Caenorhabditis elegans: one gene and its partner. The protein of the gene in region 2 interacts with the protein of the main gene of each other region in a biochemical or structural test. Each region holds a gene or a part of one and is shown on either strand. Other genes may lie near its edges. The genes, in order: wnk-1 and gck-3.

The links.
Region 1: of the proteins of gck-3 (region 2) and wnk-1, one has a biochemical effect on the other in vitro, tested with the Caenorhabditis elegans proteins (one study listed by BioGRID).

What each region holds. Positions count from the first base shown.
Region 1 is NC_003282.8:9,198,286-9,203,358, reverse strand, and holds the start of wnk-1 (Serine/threonine-protein kinase WNK), read right to left. Parts: upstream 3,254-5,073; 5' UTR 2,929-3,253; coding exon 2,920-2,928; intron 1,114-2,919; coding exon 1,035-1,113; intron 731-1,034; coding exon 661-730; intron 67-660; coding exon 1-66. UniProt on the Caenorhabditis elegans protein: Serine/threonine-protein kinase component of the WNK3-SPAK/OSR1 kinase cascade, which plays an important role in the regulation of electrolyte homeostasis and regulatory volume increase in response to hyperosmotic stress.
Region 2 is NC_003283.11:17,963,681-17,968,539, forward strand, and holds the start of gck-3 (Germinal center kinase 3), read right to left. Parts: upstream 3,084-4,859; coding exon 2,897-3,083; intron 1,639-2,896; coding exon 1,454-1,638; intron 58-1,453; coding exon 1-57. UniProt on the Caenorhabditis elegans protein: Plays a role in osmotic stress responses by regulating ion homeostasis and by controlling cell volume via the phosphorylation-mediated inhibition of the chloride channel clh-3.

The DNA of each region.
Region 1 (5,073 bases), on a different chromosome or scaffold from region 2:
CGCCAATCCTGTTGAACAGCTTCAAGTCGTGATCTTTCTTGCTCGGACAACCAGTGTGATCCCATTCTGAAATAGTCTACAGTTTAAAAAGAAAGCCAGAAAATCATTTTTCACCTTTTTCGTTCATTTCTAGTCTGTAATTGTCTGCTAGCTAATAATAAATCATTGGAAATCGGAAATTCCATTTAAAATTTGCAAAAACGGCAATGTAGACTGTTTTTCAGTCAAAATTTCTAGAAGCAGTTGGCGGTTTTAATAGGAATGCGTGGTTGGCAGAGGTGGATAGTAGAAAATGTCAATGGGGAAGGGAGAGGGAAAAAATAAAATTTGAATTTCAAATCAAATCATAAACTGAAATTTCCTCCTCATCATAAATCTATGATATTGAGAGAGAGATAGATACAGTTAGACTGTCCATTCGTCTCTTTTCGTCCTAAAAAAGATGAAAAAAGTTACCGATAATGCTCACATGACCAGTTAAAATTGTTATGAATGGGTGAGAATAGAAATATATTCAGGTTAGTTTTGTATAATGATTCGGCCAAAATCTTTTTTTTTACAAAATTATGCATACGTTTGCACTATCAAGAATAAAGTTTTAACAAGAGTTTCAAATTTTCCACGACCATCAGAAACTTTCAAAAGAGATCAAAAACTAACGTGGGATTCTCTTGTGCTGGATGTAGTTCATCGACTTTCTTGATACGATTCACTAAACGACGTCGAGTACCTGAAATTTAAAAATTGAATTAACTTTTAAAAAATTAAATAAACTTTTAAATTCATAATCTTTTTTCTATCACACTTCTGCCAATTTTAACTACAACATTTTTCAAAAAATCGTACTTTTCTCTCTATCACTTCAAAAAACGTCAATTTTTAATTCGACGTCAACTTAATCCTCTTGACGTATTCATGTGTCCAATAACACTTGAACATTCCAGGGTTTTTAAATTTTATCGATGAATGAATACTTCACTTCACCAAATAAGACGATTTTCTTCTTTTTTATAATTAATTCGACTAAAACTAACCAAAATTACCAGTTGTCGATGCTGTTGTTGAGCTCACAGAGCTTGGAGGTGCTGGTGGTCGTCCACCGTTTGTTATAGACTGCAAAAAAACATTGGTTACTGTCAGGAAACGCAATTTTTTTGTTGGAAAATACATAATACAGTTTTTTAAACATGATAACTTTGAATCAATACATCTATACTATTTTTTGATTGAAAAAAAAGGAACAGTAATCACGTGATATCTTAGAGGGTTGTGTGATATTCGAGATAAACCAACGTTTCATGTTTGGTAAATTCGAATTACAGAGTTCAAACTACTACATACATAAACTTTTCGAATCTACAAAAGTTTTCGGGCGAATGGAAAATAAATATAAATTTCCATAAAGAAATTTTGAAAGCTTCTATACTCAATAAAACTAAAAACGTCTAAAAATGTTTATACGTTAAGATTGAAAATTCAATAATCATTTCAATAAAAAATTACAATTTAGCGGTAAAATGGTAGGTGTGATGACACTTCTTGTTTCAAAATTACTACGAGAAGTGTAGAAGCAACACGACTGAAACAAGTCAAACGATAGACACATCGTTTGCCTTCAAAAGGTAGAAGACGTCGTGTCTAATACCGTCGTCTGCGTCTGTTTACCACGTGCTTCTCCATTCAGTATCACTTTGATCAAAAGACACCAAAATTCGAATGAGACGAGAAAGACGAAAGGGCGGGAACAAAAACAACAAAACAACCACCCACAGTAATAAAAACATTGCAAATACTGTTAAAGGCTATTTAAAAATGCAAAATCAGATGAATTTTTAAGTAAAATAGCGGTTATACGTAAACTGGGATAGGAAATTTTTTCAAATTTATCTCGCTCGTTTAGAAAAAAGGTTATGAATTTCTTAAATTTTGAAGAATAAATTATTCAGCAAATTAAATTTCAGGGTCCTTAATTGGAGTGAAATATAATTTAAACAGCTCACCATTCTACAAGAAATATTACGACATCTGTTACATATGACTGTCATCTTTCAAAATTAATAACATAATAATTTTTAGCAGATTTTATAGTTATTTCGAGTTTAAAAATCGTAATCTTTTGTCCCATTTCTCACTCGTGCTTTCTACGATTTTTTGTTATCTTATTTTGTAGTTTTCGATTTTCGTTTTAGTCAAGATCAACAAAAATCAATTTTCACAAAGTGATTTTAGCGGTGAGATAAAAAGAAAATTGCCAAAATTTTGCTGACTTTGATAGGGATATAAAATTCGGAAATAGAAAGAAGAAAGATATAAGAAAAAATAGGAAAAACTAAATTAAATTTCAAATGGACTTTGTCCTTATAATGAAGAAACGATTCGACTAAATCCATAGATGAATGTGAATTACCCTTATTTCTTTTCGGGAAGACAAAACCGATAAAAATCGCCGATAATTTACGATATTATATGCCAATTTATACAGGAACTAGGAATATAGTGACAATTAGAATCGAATGAAATTTCCTATGAGTAATAATTTAGCTAAATTATTTAATTAGAAAATTTAAAAACATCAAAACACAGTTCTAAACCTACAAATGTATGCACCCAAAAAGAATCGGTTGACTGACCACCCAAATGCAGACATAACTGCTTTCAACTACAGAGAATATTCATTGTTAGTAGATTTAAAAGAGGATCAACCAATGTACCAGTCTTCTCATCGCTTAAACGCCCACAGATTCAAAGTACAATTCATGGTTTTGTTTCCTAGTGAAAATTAGTTTGACAACACAAATTTGATGAAGATTGTAGAATTTTTGGGCCCATTTTGATTTTCTATTTTTTGTATTAATGAAAATATACAATTTGTATTCAATTAAAAACTATAAATTTTGAAGATTAAAAAAAAACACTCACATCAGGCATTTTGTAGTCCTCGCTTCACGATTTCCGCCGATTTTCCTCTTTACAAATTATCCTTCTTTTCCAATCGAATTTTTCCGGTATAATTTAAATCAGCCACAAAAACAAGAACTCGATTTGACAAAACGAAAACAGTTCGCTGCTTCTTCTTCTTGGGAGACTTTTTTGATATATAGATATTTACTGTAGTTATTGATGAATGCGATCGATACTGTTGCTTGACAAAGACTTTTTAAATATAGGTGTCAACTAAAAATTGGATGATATCTGCATATTTCTATGTCCGGATATCAAGCGAAGAGCCCGTGCGTTGTCGGTCTGAAAACTGGTAAAATTATTTTAAAAGGTTGCAAACAGATTTTGAGAACAATAGCGTTGAGAAGAAATAATTGAAAAATTAAAGAAAATAATGATTTCATAATAAGCTTCTAGAATGTGCTGGTGAGCAAGTAATTATGAAATTATATATTAGAAGTATTAAATACCGAAAAAGAGTTAGGATTTTAACTAAAATCTATCAATCTTTGAAGAAAACATATAGGCACGTAGATTAGATAATGGTCCCGCAAGGGCTTAAATCATCGAGGGAGTGATAAAAAGTAGCGTACTAAACGTGTAGCAACTCTGAATAACGATAGATCGATCAAAACACAATTGCGAAATTGAAACACCTAAGCAACAAGCGCACTTTCAAATTCTAGGATTTAACAATGAACTGGTGAAAAAAGGCAGCATGCACCCTTGATGAATGGCACACACCGGCCTTGACCAGTGTCCATGTGTGTCTATCTAGCCGTCTGTCATGTTATACTATCTTTATGATATTTCTTGATATCAATATCAATCTATAAATGTCTTTTCTGCAGGAACACTACACACTTTGCAAGACGTAACAGAGAGAGAGAGATTATAAAAATGACATGTTCTATTATGTATTCATGGGAAATATTAATATACTTCCAGGTTTTGGCACATCATAGAAACAAATTCGAGAAGAATAGTTGTAAGAGAAATTTGTGAAAAATGTAGATTACTAACTGATAAGGTTTGCAAAATGGTTTGTGCAGACGGGAAAAATCGGAAAAATTGAACTCGGAATATTGGTTAAATTTGTTTCTCAATAATATTACGCAGCCTGGAAAAAGACTGAAGTTTAGCACTTCAAGGGTGCATTAAAAACTAGAATGCATTCCAAAAATGGAACTTGGATGACATCATCACGATTCGAAAATTGAAGGTTCTGAAGCTTTACAGCCAATTTGAGACAAGTGGCTGCAAACAGTGGCAGTCCATTAGCCCACATGTTTCTTTTGACTCATCAAAACCCGAGTTTTGATTGGCAATAATTTGTGAAGACATGAAGATAAAAGTGTAGGAGACGACAGGGAAAAGTGATTGGATCGAAGTTTAAAATGTGGCAATGTCATTTGAAAATAGGTTAAAACCTATTAGAAAAAGCATGAAAATGCGATAAAAGTTGCATAACTTCAAGTATTTACAGACACCCCAAACAACCATCTTGGTGAAACAAATAAGATGTGAATATTCAGATTTGTGTGGTCAACATGAATTACTGTATCTGAATGAGGTTTGTCACTTGAGTTTCAGCTTATCTGTGATATCTGAAAAATGACTATTTAAAACGTGCCGAACGAAAAAACCAAGATTCACCTCAACCTGCAAATATGTCAAGAATTTCAAAAACCTTTCAATCAGATACAATGCAATCAAAAAGAAACAAAATTTCGAGAAGACTATGAAAAGTATAAACTAGCAGTAACAATTGCAGAGATTTCTGTTTTAGCTATATGAACCAGGAGAATATTCATTCTAACTAAAAACTGAGAAAATCATGTGATTTTGGAGAATGATACATTTGCTGCAACAATCACAAGCACAATTATGTTTTTTTAATAGGGAAAAACGAACTCTCGTGTGACTATGAGGCAGTGTTTGAATGTTGTCATGATACTTACTTGTTCTTCTTTCTTTTCTTCTCGCCTTTTCTTTTTCCCCTCGGCCTACCCTACTCCTACACCCCCACTGTAATCACTTTCCTTATCATCAGATCATAACCATCGTCTTCTTCATCTTATTCTTCATTTTCTTCTTGTGACTGACGAGTGTCTTCACGTGATTTGACCTTCT
Region 2 (4,859 bases):
CTTTTCCAGATTTATGCATTTGATGGCGACTTTCTCGTTTCGTGGAAGGCAGTAGGCCTGCAAAAAAATTGTGGGAATTTTAAAGGTAGAGCCGACCGAAATTTGAGACTTTTGCTTTTTTAGACCCAAATTTGGTCCAGATCTCCGAATTTTGTAATGAGACATTCTGAAAATTTCTCAAAAAAAAGTTATGGCGGTTCAAAGTTTGGCAAAATAAAGCCCATATTCAGCTAAAATCAATATTTTTTCCAACTTCTCAGTGTCACAATGCCTGGAACCTAATTCTTATTTAATTATCACTTTTTAATAAATATTGTGGTTTTTGAGTGGGCGTTTATTCGTTGATTTAGGTACATTTATGGTCTTTGGGGTACAAAATTTAACTTTTATTTGTGCCCCACTGACATATGTACTTAAATCAACGAATAAACGCCCACTCAAAAACCACAATATTTATTAAAAAGTGATGAATAAATAAAAATTAGGTTCCAGGTATTGTGGCACTGAGAAGTTGGAAAAAATTTTGATTTTAGCTAAAAATGAGCTTTATTCGGCCGAACCGCCATAACTTTTTTTTTGAGAAATTTTCAGAACGTCTCATTACAAAATTCGGTAGTTTTGGACCAATTTTAATAAAACATTAATAAAACAAAAGTCTCGATACTCACCACCTTAAAGTAAAATTAGGTGAAAATCAACATTTTCACCACTTTTCTCTTGAAAAAAACGAGATTTTTCGGAAAAATTTAAATTTCCCGCCGAAATTTGGGGTTTTCTAGCGATTTTTCCGGGTTTTTCCAAAGACAAATTAAAATTTTGGCTGAAAAATTGAATTTTTCAGATTCAAATTCGTTTTTCTGAAGGTGTCCAGTTGAAAAATGTGGAATTTTTACGCAAAAATTCAATTTTTGATGGATTTTTCGTTATTTTGCTCATTTTTGAGAGGAAAATCACGGCTCACTTCGTGGTGAGACCCGTCGAAAATTTTTTTTCGGGGGAAATTTAAATTTTCTGAGAAAAAACAATTTTTTGGCGGGAAATTCAAATTTTTTGAGAGAAAAAAAAATTTTTTGACGGGAAATTTAAATTTTCTGAGAAAAAAAAATTTTTTTGGCGGGAAATTTAAATTTTCTGAGAAAAAAAAATTTTTGGCGAGAAATTTAAATTTTCTGAGAAAAAAAAAATTTTCGGCGGGAGATTCAAATTTTCTGAGAAAAAAAAATTTTTCGGCGGGAAATTCAAATTTTTTGGCGGGAAATTTTAATTTTTTTAGAAAAAAAAATTTTTTTTGACGGTTAGAAATTGTAATTTTCGCCATTTCGCCACTTTTCCGGAGATTTTCAGTACAAAAAGTGGATTTTTTTTTGCGTTTTTTTACCCGAATTTTTGTCTAAAAATTCGGCTTTTTTTGACATAGAAATTGTAATTTTCAGTCAAAAAAGAAGCAGCATACAGTAAAAACGGTAGCAGTTGCTCCAACTCCAATCGACTCATCCAACTTATAAGCCGACGGTTCTGTTGGCCATCGATCGGCCGGATTAAGCTGTGCAACAAGTGCAGCTGATGCTGCTGCAGCTGCCGCAATCGGTGATGATACTTGAGGTGGTGGTGGTGGTGGTGGTTGGGATGGTTGTGATCCTGCAACAACAAAAAAATTAGGGGTGAAATTCATTTTTTGGGCCTAAAAATTGCGCGATTTTTGAATTTTCTCACCTTTTTTGTAATTTTTTTTTTGGTTTTTTCAAAAAACCATTTTGGTTTTTAAGGTAAAAATTGAAAATTTTTACATGGAACATTCAATGTTGTATGTACTTAAAAATGTAATTTTTAAGCAGAAAATTCGATTTTTTTTCAGCTCAAAAATTAAATTTCGTTGAAAAATTCGACTTTTTACACATTTAAAAAGGTAATTTTTACCGGGAAAAACGTTTTTTTTTTAAACAAAAAAAAATGTATAAAAATCGAATTTTTAAACTAAATTAAAACATTTTTGGAGTAAAAATAAATTTCAAATGAAGAAATAGAGTTTATCTGCCTAAAAAATCATATTTCCTCGACAAAAATTGAAAATTTTAGAGTAAAAATTGAATTTTGTACTCAAAAATGACATTTTTAAACAGATTTCGTTGAAAAATTCGACTTTTCACAGGAAAAACTCTTTTTTTCTTCTTGAAAAATCAATTTTTCCGATTAAAAAAATTTGTTTTTTTTTCACAAAAATCGGAAATGTAGATTTTATAAATTTAATTGATTTTAATTGAAAATATTAGGGTTTTCCAAGTGAAAATTGGTTTTTTTTATGTGAAAAATCAAATTTTTCAGCTAAATTAAATTTTTAGAGTGAAAATCGAATTTTTCCGCCAAAAAATTATATTTCCATGAAGAAATTGTACATTTTAGAGCAAAAAAAAATCGAATTTTTTATTAGAAAAATTAAATTTGATCGTAAAAATTCGTTTTTTTTTCTCAAAAATGTAATTTTTTAAGGAGAAAAATTGATTTTTCACTACAAAACTTCAATTCCGTTGAAAAATTCAATTTCCTACAAAAAAAATTTATTTATACCCAAAAAACCAATTTTTCAAAGCAAAAAATACATTTTGTACCGGAAAATTTCAATTTTATTGTAAAAATTAATTATTTTCCTCACAAAATACCAACTTTAGAAGGAGAAAGATGTAATTTTTACTTTAAAAATTCATTTTTAACTTAAAAAAATTATTTTCGATTTTTTAAATTTAAATAAAAATTAAATTTTACTGGACCTGCAAAAATAATCGGGAAACCCCAATTTTTATTGAAATTTCTACTTTTTCTTCGGAAAAATTATTAGATTTCAAGCTAGAAATTGCCATTTTTCACATTTTTCGACCGCAAAAAAAATCCAAAAAAGCACCATGAAGTGTCGACGTTGATCCGATGCTCGATAATGTATCAGTGTTAAATGTTCCAGTTGTTGTCTGTGTTGTCGAGTATTCTGATGTTATTGTTGAAGCATTTGCAGCTGAATGAGCAGCTGCTGCAGAAGCTGCTGATGATGTAGTTGTAGTATTCGTGTTTCCTGCCAGATTCGAAGAGCTCATTTTTTATATTTTTGATTTATTATATATTAATTTATATTGTTGATGATGATGATGATGTACACAGGACAACACACGTATGAGACTCTGAAATTTTTTAATACAATATTAATAAATTAATTGATATCATTAATCAGTAATATCATTAAGGATATAGTAGATTTGAAAAAAAAAAAAAAAAACGGCTGGAAACTAACTTTTTGTAATCACAGTCTAATTTTGGGTCCGATAGTTCACTGCAACTTTTTCCTCACGAGGGACGAGGAAAAGTGGTTTCTAGGCCATGGCCGAGGGGCCGACAAGTCGGCCATTTATCTTGCTTTGTTTTCCGCCTGTTTTCTTTCGTTTTTCATCGATTTTTTTCGTTTTTTCTTAATAAAACTGATAAATAAATATTTTTGCAGATGCTAAAACAATTTCCAAGTGAAAAAATTATGTATTCAGTGGGCAAGCAGCGGTGAAAGAGGGCAATGTAATATGATGGATTACGGGAATACAAAACCTAAACTTTTTCTGAAACATGATACATATGATGCTTAGATGCTGAAATTACCTGATTTTCATAACGAGACCGCTGAAAAAGTTTTGAGGTTTTCAAAATTCAACTTTTTGTGCGAAAATCTCGACTTTTTCACCAAAAAAGTTGAATTTTGGAAACCTCAAAACTTTTTCAGCAGACTCGTTATGAAAATCAGGTAGTCTCAGCATTTAAGCAGCATATGTATCATGTTTCAGAAAAAGTTTAGGTTTTGTATTCCCGTAATCCATCATTTTACATTGACCACTTTCACCGCTGCTTGCCCACTGAATACATAATTTTTTTACTTGGAAATTGTTTTAGCATCTGCAAAAATATTTATTTATCAGTTTTATTAAGAAAAAACGAAAAAATCGATGAAAAACGAAAGAAAACAGGCGGAAAACAAAGCAAGATAAATGGCCGCTGAAACTTGTCGGCCCCTCGGCCATGGCCTAGAAACCACTTTTCCTCGTCCCTCGTGAGGAAAAAGTTGCAGTGTCAGTTGAAGAGGAAAAAAAAAGGAAGTTTTCACTCAAATATGACTCAAAAATCTGGATTTTTGAGCTTAAAAATTCAATTTCCAAAGAAATTTCCAAGTTATATATACGTAAATGTTTTTTTCGCTAAACAAAATTTTCAGCTCCGTTGAACATTTTGGTTTAAGGCCGAACAATATTTAAAGATTTTTCAGGCTTGAAATCATCCAATTTTTGAGCTAAAAAACGTGTTGCTTTTAGCTCGGGAAATTGAGATTTTATAGCTTAAAAATTATTTTTGAGATTTTAATAATTACACGACGGTGTTTTTCTGGATTTTTGCTCCAAATAGTAAAAATTACGGATATCTTAAGTTTCAATTGAAATTTTTGCGCGCTAAAAGTTCATTTTCAGCCAATTTCTCTCTAGAATTTCATTTCAAAAAAACCTTCAAATTGGGGAAAATCGTATTTTTACAAGAGTCTTTTTAGTCCGAAAACTGGATTTTCTAAATAGTTTATTTACCAAAAAAAATCCAGCTTTTCGCTGTTTTTTTTTTTTGTAAAAATACTTCATTTTGAAGACTTTCGATCGATTTTCTTCATTTTTAGGGGGAATTTCTACCAGTAATTTCCAGCGAAATTTTACATGGAAAAAAGCTCCAAATTTCAAATTTTCAGGAGCAGGAAAAAAATCATAAAAAAATCAAAGATATTTTCAGCCGGTACACATTGGAAACCGCTCTTTTCGTCTGAAAACACACACACAGAAATAAATAAATAC